Saccharomyces cerevisiae S288C: one gene and its partner. Each later gene encodes a partner of the first gene's protein in a complex. Each region holds a gene or a part of one and is shown on either strand. Other genes may lie near its edges. The genes, in order: SMY1 and MYO2. A codon is read from its position in the direction of its gene.

Evidence for each region.
Region 2: the proteins of SMY1 (region 1) and MYO2 are in contact, whole or in part, in a crystal structure (PDB 6IXQ), measured with the Saccharomyces cerevisiae proteins. Residues at the interface, in NP_012844.1 of Saccharomyces cerevisiae: Phe633 (codon at 3,472), Lys634 (codon at 3,475), Lys635 (codon at 3,478), Gly636 (codon at 3,481), Leu637 (codon at 3,484), Asn638 (codon at 3,487), Leu639 (codon at 3,490), His640 (codon at 3,493), Ser641 (codon at 3,496), Ile642 (codon at 3,499), Lys643 (codon at 3,502), Val644 (codon at 3,505), Thr645 (codon at 3,508); in NP_014971.1 of Saccharomyces cerevisiae: Ile1207 (codon at 1,607), Ser1210 (codon at 1,598), Glu1211 (codon at 1,595), Trp1213 (codon at 1,589), Arg1214 (codon at 1,586), Phe1261 (codon at 1,445), Phe1264 (codon at 1,436), Ala1265 (codon at 1,433), Ser1268 (codon at 1,424), Ile1269 (codon at 1,421), Phe1275 (codon at 1,403), Gly1278 (codon at 1,394), Met1279 (codon at 1,391), Thr1280 (codon at 1,388), Glu1283 (codon at 1,379), Tyr1287 (codon at 1,367), Phe1542 (codon at 602), Gln1544 (codon at 596), Val1545 (codon at 593), Glu1546 (codon at 590), Ala1547 (codon at 587), Val1565 (codon at 533), Ala1566 (codon at 530), Val1569 (codon at 521), Val1570 (codon at 518).

What each region holds. Positions count from the first base shown.
Region 1 is NC_001143.9:285,028-294,917, forward strand, and holds SMY1 (Smy1p), read left to right. Parts: upstream 1-1,575; coding exon 1,576-3,546; downstream 3,547-9,890. Other genes in the region: VMA5 (H(+)-transporting V1 sector ATPase subunit C), read left to right, coding at 3-1,181; DHR2 (RNA helicase), read left to right, coding at 3,818-6,025; PSG1 (Psg1p), read left to right, coding at 6,426-7,604; AAN1 (Aan1p), read right to left, coding at 7,929-9,281; MUD2 (Mud2p), read right to left, coding at 9,583-9,890. UniProt on the Saccharomyces cerevisiae protein: Possible microtubule-based motor that can interact or substitute with myosin 2 (MYO2).
Region 2 is NC_001147.6:916,959-930,945, reverse strand, and holds MYO2 (myosin 2), read right to left. Parts: upstream 5,226-13,987; coding exon 501-5,225; downstream 1-500. Other genes in the region: SNAP receptor SNC2, read left to right, coding at 1-212; FRT1 (Frt1p), read left to right, coding at 5,906-7,714; PRO2 (glutamate-5-semialdehyde dehydrogenase), read left to right, coding at 8,041-9,411; LDB19 (Ldb19p), read left to right, coding at 9,884-12,340; dolichyl-phosphate-mannose-protein mannosyltransferase PMT3, read right to left, coding at 12,655-13,987. UniProt on the Saccharomyces cerevisiae protein: Myosin heavy chain that is required for the cell cycle-regulated transport of various organelles and proteins for their segregation.

The DNA of each region.
Region 1 (9,890 bases):
AAATGGCTACTGCGTTATATACTGCAAACGATTTCATATTAATCTCGTTGCCTCAAAATGCTCAACCTGTTACCGCCCCTGGCTCCAAAACTGATTCATGGTTCAATGAGACCTTAATCGGGGGTAGGGCATTTGTTTCTGATTTCAAAATTCCCGAATTCAAAATTGGCTCTTTAGACACATTGATAGTTGAATCGGAAGAACTGTCTAAAGTAGATAACCAAATTGGGGCTTCTATTGGCAAAATCATTGAAATTCTTCAAGGCCTCAACGAGACCAGCACCAATGCTTACAGGACTTTACCTATCAATAATATGCCAGTTCCTGAATACTTGGAAAATTTTCAATGGCAAACCAGAAAGTTCAAGTTAGATAAGTCTATCAAAGATTTGATAACATTGATTTCTAATGAATCTTCTCAATTAGACGCCGACGTCAGAGCTACTTATGCAAATTACAACAGCGCTAAAACTAACTTGGCTGCTGCTGAGAGAAAGAAGACGGGTGACCTTTCTGTCAGATCCTTGCATGATATTGTCAAGCCCGAAGACTTCGTTCTTAATTCTGAACATTTAACTACTGTTCTAGTAGCAGTTCCCAAAAGTTTAAAATCCGATTTCGAAAAATCGTACGAAACTTTATCCAAGAACGTTGTACCAGCATCTGCCAGCGTGATTGCAGAGGATGCTGAGTATGTTTTGTTCAATGTTCATTTGTTCAAGAAAAACGTTCAAGAATTCACAACAGCTGCTAGAGAGAAGAAATTCATTCCTCGTGAATTTAACTACTCGGAGGAATTAATTGACCAGTTGAAAAAAGAGCATGACTCTGCTGCCAGTTTAGAACAATCTTTGCGCGTCCAGTTGGTAAGATTGGCCAAGACAGCTTATGTCGATGTTTTTATAAATTGGTTCCACATCAAGGCCTTGAGAGTTTACGTGGAATCTGTTTTGCGTTACGGGTTGCCACCTCACTTTAACATCAAGATTATAGCTGTCCCACCAAAGAATCTCTCTAAATGCAAGTCTGAATTAATTGATGCTTTTGGATTTCTTGGTGGCAATGCCTTCATGAAGGATAAAAAAGGGAAAATTAACAAGCAAGATACTTCTCTTCACCAATATGCTTCTCTTGTCGACACAGAGTATGAACCATTTGTGATGTATATAATCAATTTATAATCGATTTATAATACTAACTTAGATTAATATATATTTCTGTTTTTTTTTTAGAATTTTCAACTTTTTTATTCATAGAGATAATACACTGTGATTGTGAATGTTTGAATAGTAATGGAACATAATCCGATAAAATATGCTTTTGATGAACGATTAGACATTTTTCAATTTTGTCGTTGAGTTCCAATCCTTCCTTATTTATGGTTAACAAGGAAAGAGGTGGAAGTTAAAAAAATGGAAATTAAAAAAAAAAAAAAATCAAAAAAAGAAAAATAAAAATAGAAAAATTGGCACGGAAATCTACAGGATTTAGCACTAGTAGGGGGTTTATTAAGCACTACAGGTCGACTTTAAACCAGAAAAAATTATCATTCAGGGTAGGTGCAAACTTGTTAAAATGCACTGGAATATAATTTCGAAAGAGCAAAGTAGCTCTTCTGTATCGTTACCAACTCTAGACAGCAGTGAACCCTGTCACATCGAAGTTATCCTCAGGGCGATACCCGAAAAAGGATTACAAAACAATGAGTCGACCTTCAAAATAGACCCATATGAAAATACTGTGCTATTTCGCACAAACAATCCGTTACATGAGACAACCAAGGAGACCCATTCAACATTTCAATTCGATAAGGTATTCGATGCTAACGCCACTCAAGAAGATGTTCAGAAATTTCTGGTGCATCCAATAATAAATGATGTTTTGAATGGTTATAACGGTACTGTAATAACATATGGACCAAGTTTCAGCGGAAAGTCCTATTCCCTTATTGGATCAAAAGAAAGCGAAGGAATTCTACCGAACATATGCAAGACCTTGTTTGATACGCTAGAAAAAAATGAAGAAACAAAGGGAGATAGTTTTAGCGTAAGTGTTTTGGCATTCGAAATATATATGGAGAAAACGTATGACTTATTGGTACCTTTACCTGAAAGAAAACCATTAAAGCTTCACCGTTCTTCAAGCAAAATGGACTTAGAAATCAAAGATATTTGTCCGGCACATGTCGGATCGTATGAAGACTTAAGAAGCTACATTCAGGCAGTCCAAAACGTCGGCAATAGGATGGCATGTGGCGACAAGACAGAGAGATCAAGATCACACCTAGTTTTTCAATTACACGTAGAACAAAGGAATAGAAAAGATGATATATTAAAAAATAGTTCTTTATATCTGGTTGATTTACACGGGGCAGAGAAGTTCGATAAAAGAACTGAAAGTACGCTATCACAAGATGCGTTAAAAAAATTAAACCAATCTATTGAGGCGTTGAAAAACACTGTGCGGTCCTTGTCAATGAAAGAGCGTGATTCAGCCTACAGCGCAAAAGGATCACATAGTTCTGCTTACCGTGAATCGCAATTAACTGAAGTGTTAAAAGATTCCCTTGGGGGAAATAGGAAAACAAAGGTGATATTGACATGTTTCTTAAGTAATGTTCCAACTACCCTATCAACACTAGAATTTGGTGACAGTATTAGACAGATCAATAACAAGGTTACAGATAACACCACAGGTTTAAATCTGAAAAAAAAAATGGATCTATTTATTCAGGACATGAAAATTAAGGATGATAATTATGTTGCCCAAATTAATATACTAAAGGCTGAAATAGACTCTTTAAAAAGCCTTCACAATAAATCTCTTCCCGAAGACGACGAGAAAAAAATGTTAGAAAATACAAAGAAAGAAAATATCAAACTAAAGCTTCAATTAGACAGTATTACCCAATTATTGAGTAGTTCTACCAATGAAGATCCTAACAATCGTATTGACGAAGAAGTTTCTGAAATATTAACGAAAAGATGCGAACAGATTGCTCAGCTTGAGTTATCTTTTGATCGACAGATGAATTCCAATTCTAAGTTGCAGCAAGAGTTAGAATACAAAAAGTCAAAAGAGGAAGCCTTAGAGTCTATGAACGTTAGGCTACTAGAACAAATTCAGCTTCAGGAAAGAGAGATTCAAGAGCTTTTAACTACTAACGCCATCTTAAAGGGTGAACTAGAAACTCACACTAAACTTACTGAAACACGCAGTGAAAGGATAAAATCTTTGGAAAGTTCTGTCAAAGAGCTTTCTCTTAATAAATCTGCAATCCCATCTCCTAGAAGAGGGTCTATGAGCTCGTCATCAGGAAATACTATGTTGCATATCGAGGAGGGTTCTGAAATATCAAATAGCCCTTGGTCAGCCAATACTTCCTCAAAACCTTTAGTATGGGGCGCGAGAAAGGTTTCTTCTAGCAGTATAGCAACCACTGGATCACAGGAGTCTTTTGTGGCAAGACCGTTCAAGAAGGGATTAAACCTCCATTCGATAAAAGTCACTTCGAGTACTCCAAAAAGTCCCTCTTCTGGAAGCTGACTATAATTAAGTTCGATAATTGTACGATACAACTGTGTAGTATCTTTGTAATTATAATCATGATGATAACGCTAATAATTTGTACGTATAATGCTGACTGAAAGATGTACTTTTCTTCTACCGTTTTTCTTCGGCGGCTATTCGTTTACAATGATTTGGAAAAATGAGAAAAATTGAAAATAAAAAATTCTGCTCGATGAGATGAGATGAGGTTATGATATATATGTAAGAATTCCTCAAGAAGAGGTTGCAAGAGTCTGCAGACATTATCATGGCAGCAAATAGCAATAGTAGAGTTGCATCAAACCATACTTCTAAAAAACAAAAGGTTAGGAGGAATATACATCCATTCACGAATAACACTCGGATTAAAAGAGCTAGTAAAATCGTAAAGTTTAATGATTCAGGCGAGGGCGACCATGTTTCAGACCAACGTTCGAACAAGGAAAATGTCCTTACTTATAAATCTTTGAAAAGTCGGGCAAGCGATTTACTCAAAATGAGAGAAACACTTCCCGTTTACCAACACAAGCGAGAAATAATGTCATATATTGAAAGCAATCCCGTTACCGTCCTTATTGGTGAAACAGGTTCTGGTAAATCAACACAAATTCCGCAATTCGTATTAGAAAAATTATATGATACGAAGAAGCATGGGTCGATTGCTGTAACTCAACCCCGTCGTGTTGCGGCCATCAATTTGGCTACACGTGTTGCTCAAGAACATGGTTGCAAACTGGGTGAACAAGTAGGTTATTCTGTCAGATTTGACAATACGACTACTACAAGAACAAGACTTAAGTATCTGACTGACGGTATGTTACTTAGAGAACTTATGATGAATAGTGACCTTAGAGAATACAGCGTCATCGTTATCGATGAAGCGCATGAAAGAACTGTGCTTACAGATTTGATATTGGGGTTCTTAAAATCCTTGATACAAGGGCCAAGACCTGATTTGAGAATAATTGTTATGTCTGCAACATTGCAAGCCGAAAAATTTAGTGAGTTCTTCAATAATGCCCCAATCTTATTTGTAGAAGGAAGAAAATTTGATGTCAAACAATACTACTTGAAGGCGCCAACAGATGATATAGTAGACGCTGTCATCAGGTGTTGTATACAAATAAACCAAGGTGAAGAACTGGGAGATATCTTATGTTTTTTACCGGGCCAAGAAGAGATTGACAAAGCAGTGACTATAATGGAGAAAATTGCAAAGTATGTTTCAGATGAGGCCCCAGTACCATTAATAGTTCCTTATCCTTTATATGCAGCTCTTCCCGCGGTCCAACAGTCCTTGGTCTTCGCTCCGATAAAGGGTTTCAAGAGAAAAGTCGTCTTTAGTACCAATATTGCAGAAACATCTGTTACCATATCCGGTGTTAAATTTGTCGTTGATTCTGGTCTTCGAAAAGTCAAAGTTTGGAGACATCAGCTGGGATTAGCCACTCTACTTACCGTACCCATTTCTCAGGCAAGTGCGATGCAGAGAAGTGGTCGTGCTGGTAGAGAAAGTGAAGGAAAGAGTTTCAGGCTTTATTGTGAGTCTGATTATGTGAAATTACCTAAACAAAGTGAACCTGAAATAGCCAGAAGTGACGTCACATCTCCTGTGTTAATGTTGAAGAGATATGGTGTTGATGACCTGCTAAACTGGACCTGGTTTGAGAACCCTGGAAAGGAAGCTATAGTAATGGGGCTTCAGGAACTTTATGAATTGGGTGCTCTTGACACTCGTGGAAAGATAACTAAACGGGGTCAACAAATGGCTCTGTTACCGCTACAACCGCATTTAAGTAGTGTCTTAATTAAAGCCAGTGAAGTCGGATGTTTGAGTCAGGTCATTGATATCGTCTCTTGCCTTAGTGTGGAAAATTTACTGTTGAATCCGTCACCAGAAGAAAGAGATGAGGTGAACGAGCGTCGTTTGTCCTTATGCAACGCTGGTAAAAGGTATGGTGACCTTATCATGCTGAAAGAGCTTTTTGATATCTATTTCTACGAACTAGGGAAAAGTCAAGATGCAAGCTCTGAAAGAAATGATTGGTGTAAAGGATTGTGTATTTCGATACGTGGGTTTAAAAATGTAATTCGTGTCAGAGACCAGTTAAGAGTTTATTGTAAGCGTTTGTTTTCTTCAATCAGTGAAGAGGATGAAGAATCCAAAAAGATTGGTGAAGATGGCGAGCTAATTTCGAAAATTTTAAAGTGTTTCTTAACTGGGTTTATCAAGAATACAGCTATAGGGATGCCAGACAGGTCTTATAGAACTGTTTCCACTGGAGAGCCGATAAGCATTCATCCATCATCTATGCTATTTATGAATAAAAGCTGCCCCGGTATAATGTACACGGAGTATGTCTTTACTACGAAGGGATATGCCAGAAATGTTAGTAGGATTGAACTTTCATGGTTACAAGAAGTTGTCACTAATGCAGCCGCTGTAGCAAAGCAAAAAGTTTCTGATTCAAAATAAGTCACCTACTCTTAGCGCATTTTTATTGTATATAAAGGCATTTAATGTAATTTATAGAGCATTATAAATCGTAACAACTACTGCAGTATGAGTTTCATGGATTCATTTCTCAATATCTTATGAATATACACAGGTATATATGTATATTCATGTTAAACGCCTTTCGAATTGTTCGTTGGCTTTTTTTGTGAAATTATCTCGGGAAAAGGGCGAAATTATATTATTTTGCCGTTGACATTTTGAAAAGGAATAAAAGATCATGAAAAAAATAAGAAAGGCAATTCGACGCATTTCTCTCAGCAAGCTATTCTTTACTTTTGAAGAACAAAATATTTTAGCAAAAAGGTTAAGACAATATAGTCGGAAGCAGTTCTGCGGGATCTGAAGGAATTGCGGAATAATGAGATTTCACGATAGTATACTTATCTTCTTTTCTTTGGCATCGCTTTATCAACATGTTCATGGTGCAAGACAAGTCGTTCGTCCAAAGGAGAAAATGACTACTTCAGAAGAAGTTAAACCTTGGTTACGTACGGTTTATGGAAGTCAAAAAGAATTAGTCACTCCTACGGTCATTGCCGGTGTCACTTTTTCTGAAAAACCAGAAGAAACACCAAATCCATTGAAACCTTGGGTATCTTTAGAGCATGATGGTAGGCCAAAAACCATTAAACCAGAAATCAACAAAGGTCGAACCAAGAAGGGAAGACCTGATTACTCAACTTACTTCAAAACGGTAAGTTCCCACACATATTCTTATGAAGAATTGAAGGCTCACAATATGGGCCCTAATGAAGTTTTTGTAGAAGAAGAGTATATTGATGAAGATGACACCTACGTCTCCCTGAATCCTATTGTCAGATGTACTCCTAATCTTTACTTCAATAAAGGTCTAGCAAAGGATATCCGCAGTGAGCCATTTTGTACCCCTTATGAGAATTCTAGATGGAAGGTTGACAAGACTTACTTCGTTACTTGGTATACAAGATTTTTTACAGATGAGAATTCCGGTAAAGTTGCTGATAAGGTTCGTGTTCATTTGTCCTATGTTAAAGAAAACCCCGTAGAGAAGGGCAATTATAAAAGAGATATCCCTGCAACTTTTTTCTCTTCCGAATGGATTGATAATGACAACGGTCTAATGCCGGTTGAGGTCAGAGATGAATGGCTGCAGGACCAATTTGATCGTAGGATCGTTGTATCAGTTCAGCCAATATACATATCAGATGAAGATTTCGATCCACTACAATACGGTATTTTATTATACATCACTAAGGGTTCAAAAGTGTTTAAGCCTACTAAGGAGCAACTGGCTTTAGACGATGCAGGTATAACAAATGATCAGTGGTATTATGTTGCATTATCTATCCCTACTGTCGTGGTGGTATTTTTCGTCTTCATGTACTTTTTCTTATATGTCAACGGGAAAAACAGAGATTTCACAGATGTTACTAGAAAAGCTTTAAACAAGAAACGCCGTGTTTTGGGTAAGTTCTCGGAGATGAAGAAATTCAAAAACATGAAAAATCACAAGTACACCGAATTGCCATCTTATAAGAAAACCAGTAAACAAAATTAGATTCCCTTCGAAGTATGCATTCACCCTTCCTCGAGAGGGCTGTTTTTATCTTCCGTCACACTAATAGAAAACCACTCTATCCAGTTTTTTTTGTTACTTAACTTATCTTAACTCGATATTGTATAAATACTGAAGTCCATATACTTCTTTTTTTCTCCTTTGGATAGTAAATACGGTAAATTAAAATTAGTGTAAACTGAACAATATTAACATATATAAATCATCTGTACGACAATTTGATACCAAATAAATAGAGAATGCATCAGCATCCTCCAGGGTTCAAAAGAAAACGCTGGATCTTGCTTCTTTTCCTTTGATTTCTCCTTATATCCATTTCTGTCTTGCAGCAACTTCACATATTTTTTCCAGTGTAATGACCCTTGGATCAGGCTTAAAATGACGCTCAACCACATTATCATCTCCTTCCACATTCCTGCTAAGTAAGCTTTCTTCGTCGCCCTCGCTATTGTCCACATTATCTTCATCTTCATCATCATCTCCGCCGACGTCTTCAATGTAGTAGAAAAAGGGTTCCAACACCAACATAATTTTCCAGAAGTTGTTCGTGCCACAATTAGCAAACAAGACATCTACAAGGGCAGGTAGGTATTCCAATTCAATGTACTCCTCTGCGCAACAAACAAATTCATCTAATTCGTAATCTTGCTCATCAGCAGATAATGTAGAATACATTTCTGATAACAACGTTAATTCTTTGCTAATTGTTTTTGGAATATCTTCTCGAGCTTGCCATAACAGCTTTTGCGCTCTTTCCAGTCTTTCTTGGCTAACGGCATCATCCTTGCTCTCTTTTTCGCCTTTATCACCTTGGACATTTTCGGAGTCTTGTAGAGAAGGCAAGAATCCGTTCTTTTCGCTTTTGACCATAAGCTCATTGTATTCGTTATAGAGGGAGATAATTTTCATCATAGGCTTGTATAATTGCTGACAGACTTTCATTTCCGAGTAAGGTACAATGACTTTTTCCAAATAGTGATTGATCAGTCCTTCCATGAAGTTTGCCCAAATTGACGAAAATACATAATCCTCGTCGTAAGTCGATTCCGTAAAATCTTGGTTGATGTTATGCTGTATGATTTGCTCTGTAAGAGTTGGGAAAAGGTTTTTATGGCTTTTGACCATTTCATCTCTCAAAGCAGTAGATCCAGCGCTATCTGCTCCTTTAGTAGAATTTTCCAAACTATTATCTGTTGAAGACGCCTCTGAGTTCTTTTCACCATCTGTCTTATCTAGCCAGTATTCCGGACCACCCTTTTCAGACAATGTCACCAATAAAAGGAAGAGTTTTACTTTAACCCACGGGTTTAGCGAGTTTACATAGGCGTCCGTAATTTTGCTAACATCGATATTTATTTTTCTATGGATGCATTTGATAAATTTTTCAATGTAATGTGATTTTTTCAATCCGTATTTTTCATTCAGATATCCAACCGAAGTGATTACGTCGTAATTTGTATTTTCCATGTTCGTATGCTTCAAAAAGTTGAATGTTAACTTTCGTCTATTTCCATAATGTCTTTCTCTTTTCTCCTCACCTTTCTTCTTTCTTCTAATCTTTTTTTCTTTTGAAGCACCCAATTTAAGACATCTTTTACAGGTACAGTCCTTTAACGATGGCTCGTTGGCCGCTTGCTTGGGCAATAAATCTTTAGCCATCTTCTTTGGCGCGCTATACTAGGCTTGATTTATAATGTTAGTTATTCCAAAAATGTGAAGGAAATTGATCAAGGCAAGCTCTAATGATGATTATTGACCCATGCAACAAAAAAAGTTTGAATTCTCTTAATTTTCCAGATCGCAAGTTAGTAGTCAATCTGCTAACTTTCGTTATATTTCAAAAAAGTAATTGTACAAAAAAAGTCACCAAAAACGAGGACTTTTTTCACTGCGTTAAAGATTAGATCTACATAATGAATACTCAATTCTTTACTTAATTTCGCTCTACAAAATAGACCATTTAGGAAAGTTGGGTTGCTTCCATCATGTCAAAGTCGTCCTCATCTATATAAGTACACAGAACAGTGCGATCGTTGAATTGCGTACCCGGCAATTCTTCCATTGCGTGTTTTGCTGCCTCCAAGGTCTTGAACTTGATATAAATATTACCGGCTCCGGAAGCCAAGTTTTCAAAATTAAGTCTGTAATCGACGCCGGGTTGGCATATTTTAATCGTATCTGCTCCCGCGATACTATACTTTAATGTTTCTTTAATTTCTGTGATAAAGGTTTCATCTTTCAAATCCAATGGATCAAGACAATTTAAGA
Region 2 (13,987 bases), on another chromosome or scaffold:
TCAACAAGGTTGCTGAACGTGGTGAAAGGCTAACATCCATTGAGGACAAAGCTGATAACTTGGCTATCTCCGCACAAGGATTCAAGAGAGGCGCCAACAGGGTCAGAAAGCAAATGTGGTGGAAAGATCTAAAAATGAGAATGTGTTTATTCTTAGTTGTTATTATTTTACTAGTGGTAATTATCGTTCCTATCGTCGTCCATTTCAGCTAACGCTCATCGGTTCCCGATGCTAATTCTAAAAAATATATACAGTAGTCATAATAGTAATAATAATATAATCATAATTTATAAATTCAGTAAGAAGCAAAATGTAGTTTAATATAGTGTACACTAATACGGCGCGCGGTTAATATCTTCCATAATATCGATTTCATTATCATACTATTGACAAATACTTCTATTATTAATTAACTATGTAGTTTCATTTTTTTTTTTCTCTTTTTTTGTCATTTCTTTTTTTAGCATTCATGTACAATTTTGTTTCTCGCGCCATCAGTTTTAGTGGCCGTCTTGAACGACTTGTTGGGCAACAAGGTCAACTATTCTCTTAGTTGAGGGCAAGGATAACCACGCTGGTATATAGGCTTCTACTTGGTCAAATTTTCTTGTCTTTATCAAACTGAATGGGTCAGTAAATGGACCTGTTTCTGGAGTGATAAATATACTGCTGCTATGCTCGTGACCCTTAGAATCATTACCTGATGAAGATAACGCAGCTTCTTTCTTAACTATATCAGCAACGTATCTTAAGATTTCCTGTGGAATTGGAGACTCATAGTCTGCCACCTGGTATTGTGAAATCAATTTTTGCAATTGTGCAGGTGTTAGCGAATAACAAATTCCTCTTAAGATATCAATGTCTTCGATAGTATACTTACGGACTTGCAGTAGCTTAGCGGTCTGAATCAAATGTTGTAAGCACTCAGTACCATCTGTCAAGCCATGCGTCTTGCACCATTCCTCTAATCTAGTAACGTTGTAGTTCAATTGAAGACCCCTTTTCCACGACAAGAAATTACGTTTCATGATTAATTCGTTAAAACAAATTGCATCCACATAATTCAATAAGGTTGTGACTACAGCATGGAACACTTCATTCTCAATATGAAAAGATTTCATGCACCAGTATATGCTGTTGAAAAAGGTCAAAATGTCGTCCATTGTATATTCTTCAGTGTTAGCAAAAATTTTGTTCAAAAACCCGCTGGTTTCTCCCGCGCTGAAACCTGGTAATGATTCGGAGATGACCACAGCATTGATGGCCTTTTTTTGCAATTGCTTCTGCAATTTCTTCAGCCAAATGTTATATATATTATAACTTAGAGCTTCGAAATCATCCTTTAGTTCTGTGACCAATGAAACATACTCCTTATACTCCTCATCGGTCATGCCGTTTTTGAACGTTTCTTCGGTTAAAATAGAGTTTAGAGCAAACACCACAAATGAGTATAACTCTCTAACGTTTGCTAACCAGAATACACCGCTTGGAATTAAATCGTTACCCTTCAATTGAGTGACAACTTTTTGAATTGTAGTCAATACTTGGGCAAGAAAGCTTTCACTTTGCTTGGTCAGCCCAAATCTCCACATTTCACTTAAAACTATAATCAGTATTCTAGCCGGATAAACAACGTCTCTTTTACTTAGTTGAATAGCTACACCAGCATCCGGTACTTCGAATCCCTTTAACAGGCCTTCCGTGATTTCTTGATTCAAAATTTCAGTGTCCTCCAATAACCTGTATAACTCTTCATTGATTTGTGTAGCATTGACACCATTTTCGCGATCGACACTCAATGAATCAATGTGGTTGTTTCCGGACGATGGAGTAGATCTAGACTTTAGATTCAAATCATTAGGAGATAAGTCGGAATTCTCAAGCATCATATTGTTGAAATTTGAAGCACCGCCTCCCATTACATCCTTTAATGGTGTTTGAGGTAGTACACTAGTAGTAACGGTGCCCAGCGACATGGCAGTTTGTAACCTAGCAATTTCTTCCTTTAAAGATTTAACTTCGTTTTGCAAGTCTCCGTTTAATGTCTGGTATTCAACCAATGTTTTCTTTGTTTGCTCTAATTCTTCAAGTTGCTTTTTAGATTCTTCTTTCAATTCATCATGTTGTTTAACCATGTCCTCCAACTCTAATTGAGCGTCCTTTAGAGTTTGTTCAGTGGATTGCAAATTGTTCTCAATAGTTTTTTGTAATTCCATATCCTTAGATTTCTGATTATCAATATCTATTAAGTGCTCTTTTTTCATATTTTCTAATGTCTCTTGTAACTTGGCACTTTCTTCCACTTGAACCTGTAGTTCTTTAATTCTTTCTGTCATTTCTTTATTTTCTTTGACCTTGGATGCTAGATTCTGCGTCAGTTCAATCACTTTATTCTCTAATTTATAGCTCACTTCTTTCAGATGATTAACTGATTTAGCGTCTGCCTTCAATTGTTTCAATTTCCTTTGAGCAGCTCTTCTTCTGATCAAAGATTGGACAACAACAGTGTCTTTTTTAGTGCGTAAAAATCTCGATCTCGGCTCAAAGGTCCTAACTTTACTTTGAATAGTTACCGCAGCATTATATTCATGTTCTTGTTTCAGTTGTCTTTGTTTTAGTTCCTTTCTAATTTTCTTTTGCAAATTTGTAATTGTTCTCAATACGCTGAACACATTGGCACGGATGGAATGACCCCTGTAAGCGGCCTGTAATAAAGTTGCACAGTTAACTTTCATTTCATCATTAACGCGTTGACGAATGATGAAACCTTTGATGTTGTTCTGCAAATACTTGATGGCCTGAGATATTTGCAAATACTGCTTACGGTAATATTTAGCTCTAATTTTCTTCTGGATCATAACAATTGAATTATGCATCTTATTGCTTCTAAGTTTTTCCAGATATGCAAGCATACCTGCTTTGAAGAAAATTTTTGTATTACCAATCTGGTACTTGGATTTGTCCTTTACAGTAGCATCTAGGATCATTTTAACCACTGATATGATATCTTCTTCTGTAGTTTCCTTTTTTTTGAAGATTAGGTCCCACTGCTCATGTGGTATCAAGATGTAATATCTTAATACAAATTCTTCAAAAGTCCACCTAGAAGGAAACCCAGCACAAGATATTCTAATAGTTTCCAAAACACCACAGGCTCTGAGTTGAGACAACACCATCAAATTATCAAATTGCCAAGCTTCTTTATCTGCATTAGGCTTTATACAACGAATATAATGAACATTAGTTGAGTTGATGGTATTCATTAGTTCAATCAAAGATTGCTTAAACATGGAACCTAAAGTGGGTTTCCTGTTAACCGTTCTTATCGGACCTGGCTTTTTACTGCCAGCCTGCTCTAATTCAAGCTTTTTCGCTTCTTCCAGTTTTTTGGCAGCTTTTTCTAATCCCTCTAAGATATTTATTAGTGTCTCGTTGGTAGAAGCCTTCAACACTTCCAAATGTCCGTCAGATACGGTGTCTCTATTTTTTTCAATAAATCCTTCCACATCATAAGCGACATCTAGAGCATAATGGCTCACGATAAATTTAGTTTGCCCGAATCTTGGTTTAGAAAATACTTTGTTCGTAGGAGATTTATCCAAAGTTTGATAAAGTTTTTGGGTCCAAGATTCGTCGGAACCAGCAGGTAACCTACTTTCTTCGTCAAGCAGTGATAAAATACCCAACTTGTTTTCAATCAGATCAATACAAGGTTGATTATCATTAAACTCTATAAAAGACCATTCAATTTCTTCTTTAACGTATTCTTCTTGCTCTAATTTGAAAACATGTTGGTTGAACTCTTGTTGTAGTTTTTCGTTGGCATAGTTAATACAAAATTGTTCAAATGAATTTTTTTCAAAATGTTCAAACCCATAAATATCCAGAACACCAATAAATGAGCTAATTTGGTCGTTCACAGCCGGGTTGCATAACACGGTGTTGATATTTTCCACAAGCCAATCGAAAAGGGCGGAATAAATAAACTTAGCCACGGAATCTTTGGCAACCAGAGCTTGACTATAATTTAGATTCGAAACAATTTTCTCTGACCTTGTAATGATCTGCTTTTTGGTGACCCATTTGGCAAAGTTGTAGGCATCAATTCCCAGCAATTCGCACGCCAGTTTCAGGTTTGGCTCATCAGCTGATAGTGATGCATCATTTCTAGTTTTTTTAATTTCTATGTTACCGATATGCAGAAGTGCGGCCAAGATCTTAAATATTTGGTGTTGAGTTTCCTTGGTGATTCCGACTAATGTCAATGCATCTACTGTAATTTTGTATTCTTTGGCATCATCAATACCGTTGATCTTGGTGTCACCGCCTTGGTTCATGTAGAAGTAATCTGAGGCATCGGTAAGATGCAATTCCTCCTTGGTTTGAGCTGGTAATCCAGCCATTAATTGATAAAATATGTGGTAGTTTCTCTCAATTGGCGGCTGGTAAACTAATCTGGACCGTTCCAACAAGTATGTGCGGATCCTTGCTCCAATAATAGATGTGTCCTTATCGAATAAAATTTCTAGATACTTACCAAATCTGGAAGAATTGTCATTTCTGGTAGTCTTAGCATTACCAAATGCTTCCATGATAGGGTTTGTAGCTAGAATCTTTTGTTCTGTTTCCGACATTTCCACTTGATGTTGTACAGTAGCGGAATTTTCCTCTTCTACAGAAGCAAAATAACGCATAATATACTTGGCAGAAACCGTTTTTCCAGCACCAGATTCACCACTTACCACAATGGTTTGATTTTGTTTGTCATTTTTCATCAACCTATACGCTTCTTCGGCAATGGCAAACAAGTGAGGTTCCAGTTCACCTCTGCGCTTTCCCGCATATGCTTGGATCATGTCTTGTGTATAAAGCTGGTCGACACGATCAAAAGGGTTTGTAGCAATCAGAACAATACCCGAGTATGTGTAGATATTCAATTGAGAATAGCGCTGTTTGATGGCATGTAAAACAGCTGGCTCATTCAAGTAAGATAAAGAGGTCAAATCTTCCGTTGCTTCCAAAATGGGAGGGTTTCTAAGAAGCGGTAGAGATTGGTCCTTATCGTTATTCAAGTCTTTTGTGTCCACGGACACGATTTCATCGTCTTCCAATTGTAACTCCAGGTGGTACTTGCCGTCGTTGAACTCATTTTTGATTACTTCCGCCCCAATCCAGCCCAATTCTTTATGGGGATACCAGCATCGTGTACCCACTTCAAAAGACATTATACGCTGTAATATCTGCTGTTTTTATGTCCTATATGTACAATGGTATAAGTATCGCTGTCCAATGGAATGGTGTCGAATAGTACCTTAGAAAACAAAAAACAAGCAAGCAGCCAGAAATCGAACGAATAATTTCAAGCGAGAAAAGTGAAATGACTTTGCGAGACTTTTTTGTTCTCTGATTGGCCTTGCAAAGTTGATAGATCTCTGAAACGCAGGCTACGAATCGTATCAAATGAAGGCGTGTTTGGGATTTCTGATATTTGGCTTTTCGAGAAGCGCGATCATAAACAAAAAAAAGGAAAAAATCACAAAATAGCCCTGGGTCGGGTAATAGTTTTTGCCCTACGTTTTCGTAAATGTGTCACTAGGTGCAATTGCCAATAATTAATTGTAACCTACTCAATATCTATTTTAGCCCTACATACGTTAGGGTCGAAAATCTGTTGGGGTTTTGGTTTTAACAGCGTAAACTAAACCAGATAAGCATCGAGAAACGGCGCTTGGCACATCGTATATCAACAAGACAAACCAGTGACCGGAGTTCTGAGGCGTCTTCGAGCCTATTTATTTATTGATCTGGGTCGGATAGTTCACCCTATTTGTGGAGGAAAAGACCTTCCCATATCTAAATTTTTTTTTTTTTTTGGTTTAAGTTATAGTTGATACATTAAGTGAAAATGAACTTGCTAATTGACCGGATGGAGAATCCCGGATCGAGGAACTGTACCCTGTTACCTCCTTCATTCCCAAGAGGCTTTTGTAAGGGAAGAAGGGCTTCCAGTGGCGACGCAGTGAAGATAAAAGAATCCGGTCTACAGCCGCAGCCGCAGCCGGAACCTCTACAAGCTAAAACAAATGTTGCACACTTTTCGAAATCATCTTCTAGATTACCTGTCATAGCAGTGAATGATAATCCGGTGGTCCCAAGACCAAGCACTGAAGTAAACTTGGGATCGTTGTTACAAAAGGAAAGGGAGAAAGAAAAGGAGGAACAGCCTGCGCTGCATGATAGGAGACATTTATATGTGACAAAGAATAGGGCACATGGGGTACGACAACGTTCATTGGAAATGACTAGCTTACCTGTCCTGGGATCGACCAAAACCGGGAAGTTTAGCGATTTTTTGTTTGAAGATGACATCGATAACAGAGTAGGTCGACACAGTAGATCATATAGTGGGGCATCCAGTTTGGATGATCCATTCAGAGTGTCGCCGAAAACCGACTTCAACTCTAATAGGGCCAGATTGTCTTGCCTTAGTAAAGGACGTCGTGGTTCGATGTCCGTTTTCCAAAGCTGTCATACTGGGCTAGCTTTCAATCAAATACAGGGTTCCTCCTCTTCGCAACGTAGATCATCCGCTGGTTCTTTTGATTATGAGAGGAAACGATTGGTTAACCAATTTTTACAGCCTTCTTTGGGAAATTCAGACCCATTTGATACGTTGAGGGAGTCGGTAGTGTTTGAGCCCTCATCCACCGCTGGCGGCATTAAATTAGGGAATATGCATTCTCAATCACAAATTTCCGTAAACTCCTCCCCCAGCACATCTTTGTTTTATCATGATTTGGACGGTTCTGCTGTCAACGATTCTTCGTCATTTCTGTATTCCCGTTCTAATGTACCAGCATTTTTGTCGTCATCAGCCTTTTCGTCCACGTCATCCACCTCATCAGATTCAGAAGATGTGGATAGAAGAAGTTTAAACGGTGTATATCCCTCTTTAGGATATTTGACTAACCAGAGGAAACCAAGGAATTCATCAGGCTCTTCCACTGCACCTGGCACCGATACCTTGGGATTTAAGTATTTACTGAATAGGCAGAAGTCAGCGGATTCTTCCACTAGGTTCAAGAGTGTACTGAAGGTGAACAATAATAATGGCTCCGCAGCCACTCCTGATTCTAGCTCAAACTCTATTTCGAAGAGCAACTCAAATTTGAATGATAACATTGATGAATTGAATTATTATCAAAATCATATTTCGACACTTCTAGTGAAGATCGAGAATGAGATGAGAAGAAATTTAAACGATACAATAATCAAGAATGAAAACAACGTTCAAAAAACTATCCAAAAGTATGATCTTCTATCAGGAGAGTTAACCCTTTTATTAGACGAAATGACCACCTTGCGAACCACGGTGATTAATCAATTCTTGGTCAAGTTGAAATCAGACTTTGACGAGGATGACAATAAGGCGTTTATTAATGAATTAAAGATATCAGTCGAAGAAAGTGTAGCGCAATTACAAGGATTGGAAAGGAGAATGGAGGTTTGCCAAGAGAGATTAAATAAACAAAAGTCCTCTCTAAGGGAAATGGATAGTTTGATAGAGCTGAAAAACGTGTTAAATAAATCGAAGAACAACACGAAATCCATCTACCTGTATAGGTATTTCATCATTGACATTATTGCATTTCTTTTGATGGGCGGCTTTATCGTTTACGTCAAGAATTTGTTAACTCGTTTTTTTACTCGTTAAAAAGTCAAAACAAGGTCACTTTACAAAAATGGTACGCGTACAAAGATAAAATCACCTCTGAACATAATAATATACATCTATATACATATATATATATATATATATCACACATCAATCAACGCGCATGGACATTTGAATCAATGGGGCAGGAAAGGCGATGCAGTGGCCAAATTTCTTTGTTCATTTGTGGCGTTGGGTCAATGAGTCAAAAAATGAAAAAAGTCGACAGACGTTTTTCAAAAAGCTTCAAGAAAAGAAGAGAAAAAGTAAAAGCGTATTGGTAAAAAGAGTAAGAACAAAAAGGAGCACAGGCAACCAATATAAAGATGTCCAGTTCACAACAAATAGCCAAAAATGCCCGTAAAGCAGGGAATATTTTGAAAACCATCTCAAACGAGGGCAGATCAGATATTTTATACAAAATTCACGATGCCCTGAAGGCTAATGCGCATGCCATTGAAGAAGCGAATAAAATCGATTTAGCTGTTGCCAAAGAGACTGGCCTAGCGGATTCTTTATTGAAACGTCTCGACCTATTTAAAGGGGACAAATTTGAAGTTATGTTACAAGGTATTAAGGATGTAGCCGAACTAGAAGACCCTGTTGGCAAGGTTAAAATGGCCAGGGAATTAGATGATGGCTTGACGTTGTACCAAGTAACCGCTCCAGTCGGCGTTTTGTTAGTTATCTTTGAATCCCGTCCAGAAGTTATTGCCAATATTACCGCATTGAGTATCAAGTCTGGTAATGCTGCAATTTTGAAGGGTGGTAAAGAGTCTGTGAACACGTTCAGAGAAATGGCAAAGATCGTTAACGACACCATTGCACAATTCCAAAGTGAGACTGGTGTTCCTGTGGGCTCTGTGCAATTGATCGAAACCAGACAGGATGTTTCCGACTTGTTGGATCAAGATGAGTACATCGACTTAGTTGTTCCTCGTGGTTCCAATGCCTTAGTCAGAAAAATCAAGGACACTACAAAAATTCCCGTGTTGGGTCATGCGGATGGTATCTGCTCAATTTACTTGGATGAAGACGCAGATTTGATTAAGGCAAAAAGAATTAGTTTGGATGCAAAGACTAACTACCCAGCTGGTTGCAACGCTATGGAAACGTTGTTGATTAACCCAAAATTCTCTAAGTGGTGGGAAGTTCTGGAAAACTTAACTTTGGAAGGCGGAGTGACTATCCACGCTACAAAAGATTTGAAAACTGCGTATTTTGATAAACTGAATGAGTTAGGGAAATTGACAGAAGCAATTCAATGCAAAACCGTTGATGCTGATGAGGAGCAAGATTTTGATAAGGAATTTTTATCCTTGGATTTGGCTGCCAAGTTTGTTACATCTACAGAATCGGCCATTCAACATATAAATACACACTCTTCGAGACATACCGACGCTATTGTAACGGAAAATAAAGCAAACGCTGAAAAATTTATGAAGGGTGTCGACTCCTCTGGTGTTTACTGGAATGCATCAACTAGATTTGCCGATGGTTTCAGGTACGGTTTTGGTGCTGAAGTGGGTATTTCTACCTCTAAGATTCACGCCCGTGGTCCAGTTGGCTTGGACGGTCTGGTGAGTTATCAATACCAAATAAGAGGTGACGGCCAGGTTGCTAGTGACTACCTTGGTGCTGGTGGTAACAAAGCTTTTGTTCACAAGGATTTAGATATAAAGACTGTGACATTATAAAAATTTTTAGGATAAAGCTAAGTTCCATGTATGAAGGACGTGTATACATAGTTCAGTAAAGCCATCAAATAAGTACTCTTGTCAACTCATTCTATGGTGTGATAGTTAATTGCTTACTTGTATCGCTATTAACGACTTTTTTTTTCTTTTGGCGGAAGCTTCAAGACAAAAATGCGATTTGAGCTGACTCGAACACTTATTAAACCAGACGGAAAAGCACGACTCATACATATCATAGGCAGTTTTTACTAGGGCTCCGAATACTTTGAATAATAAGGTTGATTAAGTTTGTGTGCTTCATCCAATTAGCTTTCAGTTTTCCTTATTTAAGCTTCTGATTTCGGAATCAAAAGTTGAGCAACGTTATAGCTTGCTTTTTCGGAGGAGAACGCTGTTGTTCACATTTCAACACCAGAAATTGCTGATTTTTACTCCTACTTAGTATACATTTCACTAAACAATACGTTTTACCATGGCATTTTCACGTCTTACATCTACTCATCAGTCCAATCATAACGGCTACAGTAATAGCAACAAAAAAGGACAAAGTCTTCCACTAACCCTTTCTATTGATGTAGAATCACCGCCATGTGTTCTTTATGGGTCTGCTATGGAATCCTCAGGTGCTGTGCTAAGTGGACTTTTTACTGTGACGGTTGTCGATCCCTACAGTAGTGCTGAAGATAAATCTTTAAAGAATACAGAATCTAATGTGTCGACTACTTCTAAAAGCCTAAAAAGAAAGAGTACATTTGGTTCTGCACTTTCATCTAGATTGTCCAGCTTGTCAGCGTCGACGTCAAATATCTCTCCTTCAACATCTTCTACATCCATATCGCATTCTCCCACGCCTGCTAATTTAAGAATAATGGCTGGTTATACCAAGATCACCATTACGTCGGTAACACTAAGTTTGGTACAGAAGATCCATTTCCATAAACCCTTTGTGCCTAATATTTCCTCAATGCAAACCTGTATGAACTGTAAAACAAAGATTACAAACATGAAAAGCTGGGAAATTCAGAGTAATACCCAGGATCTTTCTGTTGGAAGCCACTCTTACCCATTTTCCTATCTTATACCGGGGTCTGTCCCATGTTCTTCATCGCTAGGTGCTACGGCTGAAACCCAGGTCAAATACGAACTTATCGCTGTTGTGACGTATATAGATCCTCATAGAAATTCCTTTTCTTCCGGTCATTCTACTCCCAGGAAAGAAGGAAGCTCTTCTAAGAAGCGGTTGTTGCAACTAGCGATGCCCATCGCCGTGACTCGAAGTATACCGCGCGGGCCTGATAAGAATTCTCTAAGAGTATTTCCTCCTACAGAGTTAACTGCTGCTGCTGTTCTTCCTAATGTTGTATATCCTAAATCTACTTTTCCTTTGGAGATGAAATTAGACGGTGTTTCTTCGGGGGATAGGAGATGGCGAATGCGTAAATTGAGTTGGAGAATTGAAGAAACTACAAGAGTTAAAGCACATGCTTGTCCAGTGCACAAGCATGAATTGAGGCAGTTAGAAGAGCAGGTTAAAATAAAAGAGTCAGAAAAAAGTAAAAAGCCACGCAGTCATATTAAGCGTTATGGTGAACTAGGCCCACAAATCCGGGTTGCAGTAAACTCTTTAGAAAATATGCCGTCGCAAAGGCTTCCAGGCGAGCCCGGTCGTGAACAAGCACCTAATTCTTCGGGTCCAGCGTCAACTGGTAATGTTGGACTTGATGATGAAAATCCTGTTAATGAAGATGAGGAAGACCAACCCGGTAGCGAATTCATCCATCCCAGTGACGACGCTTTGCGTCAGGAGTTACTAATGCAGCAACAACGCGCAAGACAACAACAACTTCAACAAGAGCTAAAAAACAACAGTAGTTTATTTACGGAAGAGGTTCGGATAATATCTAAGGGAGAAATGAAGAGTGGATGGAAAACCGATTTTGACAATAATGGAAAGATTGAGCTAGTTACAGAAATAGATTGTATGGGACTTAATTCAGGCGTCTCTAATCCGGTAATGCATGCATCGACACTACAAACTCCTTCCACGGGCAATAAGAAGCCCAGCATCAATGTGGCTTGCGATATACAGGATCCAAATTTAGGTTTGTATGTAAGCCACATCTTGGCAGTGGAAATAGTTGTTGCAGAAGAAACATTGCAATATGCCAATGGGCAACCTATACGGAAACCAAACTCCAAAAACAAGAAAGAAACTAATAACAATACGATGAATGTTCATAATCCTGATCAACGCTTAGCTGAATTATCTCCAATTTTTGCAAATAGAAATACACCGAAAGTACGGCGCATGGGGCCTGAAGATATAACACCGGTGAATAGTAATAAGTCCAACCATAGTACTAATAAGGAGAAGGCATCTAACGGTGCTAGTAACTCTAATATAGTGAGTGTTCCCACTGGTGCAGCACGTGTTTTAAGAATGCAATTCAGATTAACAGTCACTGAAAGATCTGGACTTGGAATCTCCTGGGACGAAGAAGTTCCTCCCATTTACCAAGATGTCGAGTTGCTCTCGCCACCATGTTACGAGCTCTCTATAAATAATGGAATCAAAAATAAACTTTATTCAACAATGAGTACTCCTGTTAGATCAGAGGATGATTTTGTGGGCGGCAGCGATGAAGATATTGGGAACTATGAGAGCCAAGGGCTCGAACCTGGTCCTAACGTACAGGAAGTAACGATCACACAAAATAAATTAACGATACCACCAACCGCACATCACTACCAGCCTGCTTCCTCTTCGCAAAGATCCCTTACCACAGTACAGTCACCACCACTGGAAAGTGTTGTTAGTGTCCAGGGTAGTGTACCTTTTCGTGGACATGTGTTGACACCACATAGCACAAGAGATATCAGAATACAAAACTTTTCCGATTTTCTAGATTCCAATAGAATAACCCAGTAGATTTTATAATATTCGTTAAAGGTATTTACCATATATTTTTATCTTAGATACCTGAAAACTACAAATCTGATCAATAAGCAAACCCTGACCATGATTTGATGCATTTCACAGATAACTACATACAGGCATTGTTTAACACTTGAGCATTTTTTTTCTCGTATTTTCTTAAGGCTGGACTGGATTAATATCTTCATTTCGTCGTAGGTACATAGCTTTGTTATGATAAAGAAGAAGGCATAAGTCGAAAAAGATATTTCGCGCATCAATTAACATTTTTTGTGTGGTGAAGAAAAGTTTTTGATCATTCTATATATCTATGTGTTACGTATATCTTCAACAATCTGCCACGTAGGTAGCCATGCCAAGTACGCGTAATCATCTACTGGACCATCCATCCCAAAACTAAAAGGAGAGAAATAAAAAAATCCAGCGATCACGATTGATCCGTATACAATATAAGCTCCTAGCCTTAGAAATTTTCCAGTGTTTCTTGTAGCCCAACGTTTGGTAATCATATCGAAGTAGTATGACAAGATCATTAAGGCAAAATAAAGGGTGGGCAGATAGTGGTGAGCGTATACAACTCTTGACATCACTACGAATGGCATATAATGTAAAAGCCAAGCAAGCAATGGATAAAAGGCTGCCATAACGAACACGTCACGTTCGACTGGATCGGATAGGATAACACATTGTCTCTGCCATTTCAGAGTTAAGAATATAACGTGTATTATCAGTGCGCAAACTGCGATGCTTGAGGGCCAGACGGACGCAGGAGATCCTAATAAGAAGTACTTTATAGATTTTTCACTCCATTCGCATAATCTTACCCCGACGTTCAAGGTTGGCCATTGCCAGGCAGATGAAGCTATACCATCAAACTTTTCAGGGTTTGGTACCAAAGCATTATTGGTTGCCATCATTGCTGAATTTAACTGCATGAAATTCCTGAAGAATGAAGTCTTCGGATATACGAAATCTTCTCCCTGTGGCAATCTTTCATTTTCATGTGTTTCGATATTCCACCAGGTTCTCTTATCCCTTTTGGAGGCGTGTTTTAAACAGACAACTTCACCTTGCCTGAAACCCCATTCTGGTAAATGTTTACCTGACTGAGCTAAATAGCAACCCAGTATAGAATTTTTAATACGGAAAGATGTGGATAGCGGGTGTAGTAGTGTTGGATCTTCTTCCCCTACTTGTTCCACGATTTCTATAATCCAGTTATCTTTGTAGTCACCTAAGTCTACATCTCCGTAAGCAGAAACTTCATATTCACTTTTCGATATAGGCGCTGGGACTTCATGGGTGTGTAGATTCTTGCCTGTTAGGCGATGCATTAATCTATACATTTCGCCACCCTTTACAAACTCAATTGTCTTGTTCTCAGCATCAGTCCAAGGCTCTACTCCTCTGATTCTTTGAAAAAACCATTCATTGTTAGCATCACTGTAACCATAGACAGTTACTTGCTGTTGCTCAGAACCTTCTGGGAATGGTTGGACATGAGAATGTAATAAAGCGCCTCCCAACGCTTGATTTTTGATGGAAATAATAGAAGAACCCAAAGCAACATCACGTGGTCCCTTACCAACTTTTGTACCGTTCAGACTGGCTTGAAATAATGATGGCATGGTAGAGTCGCCG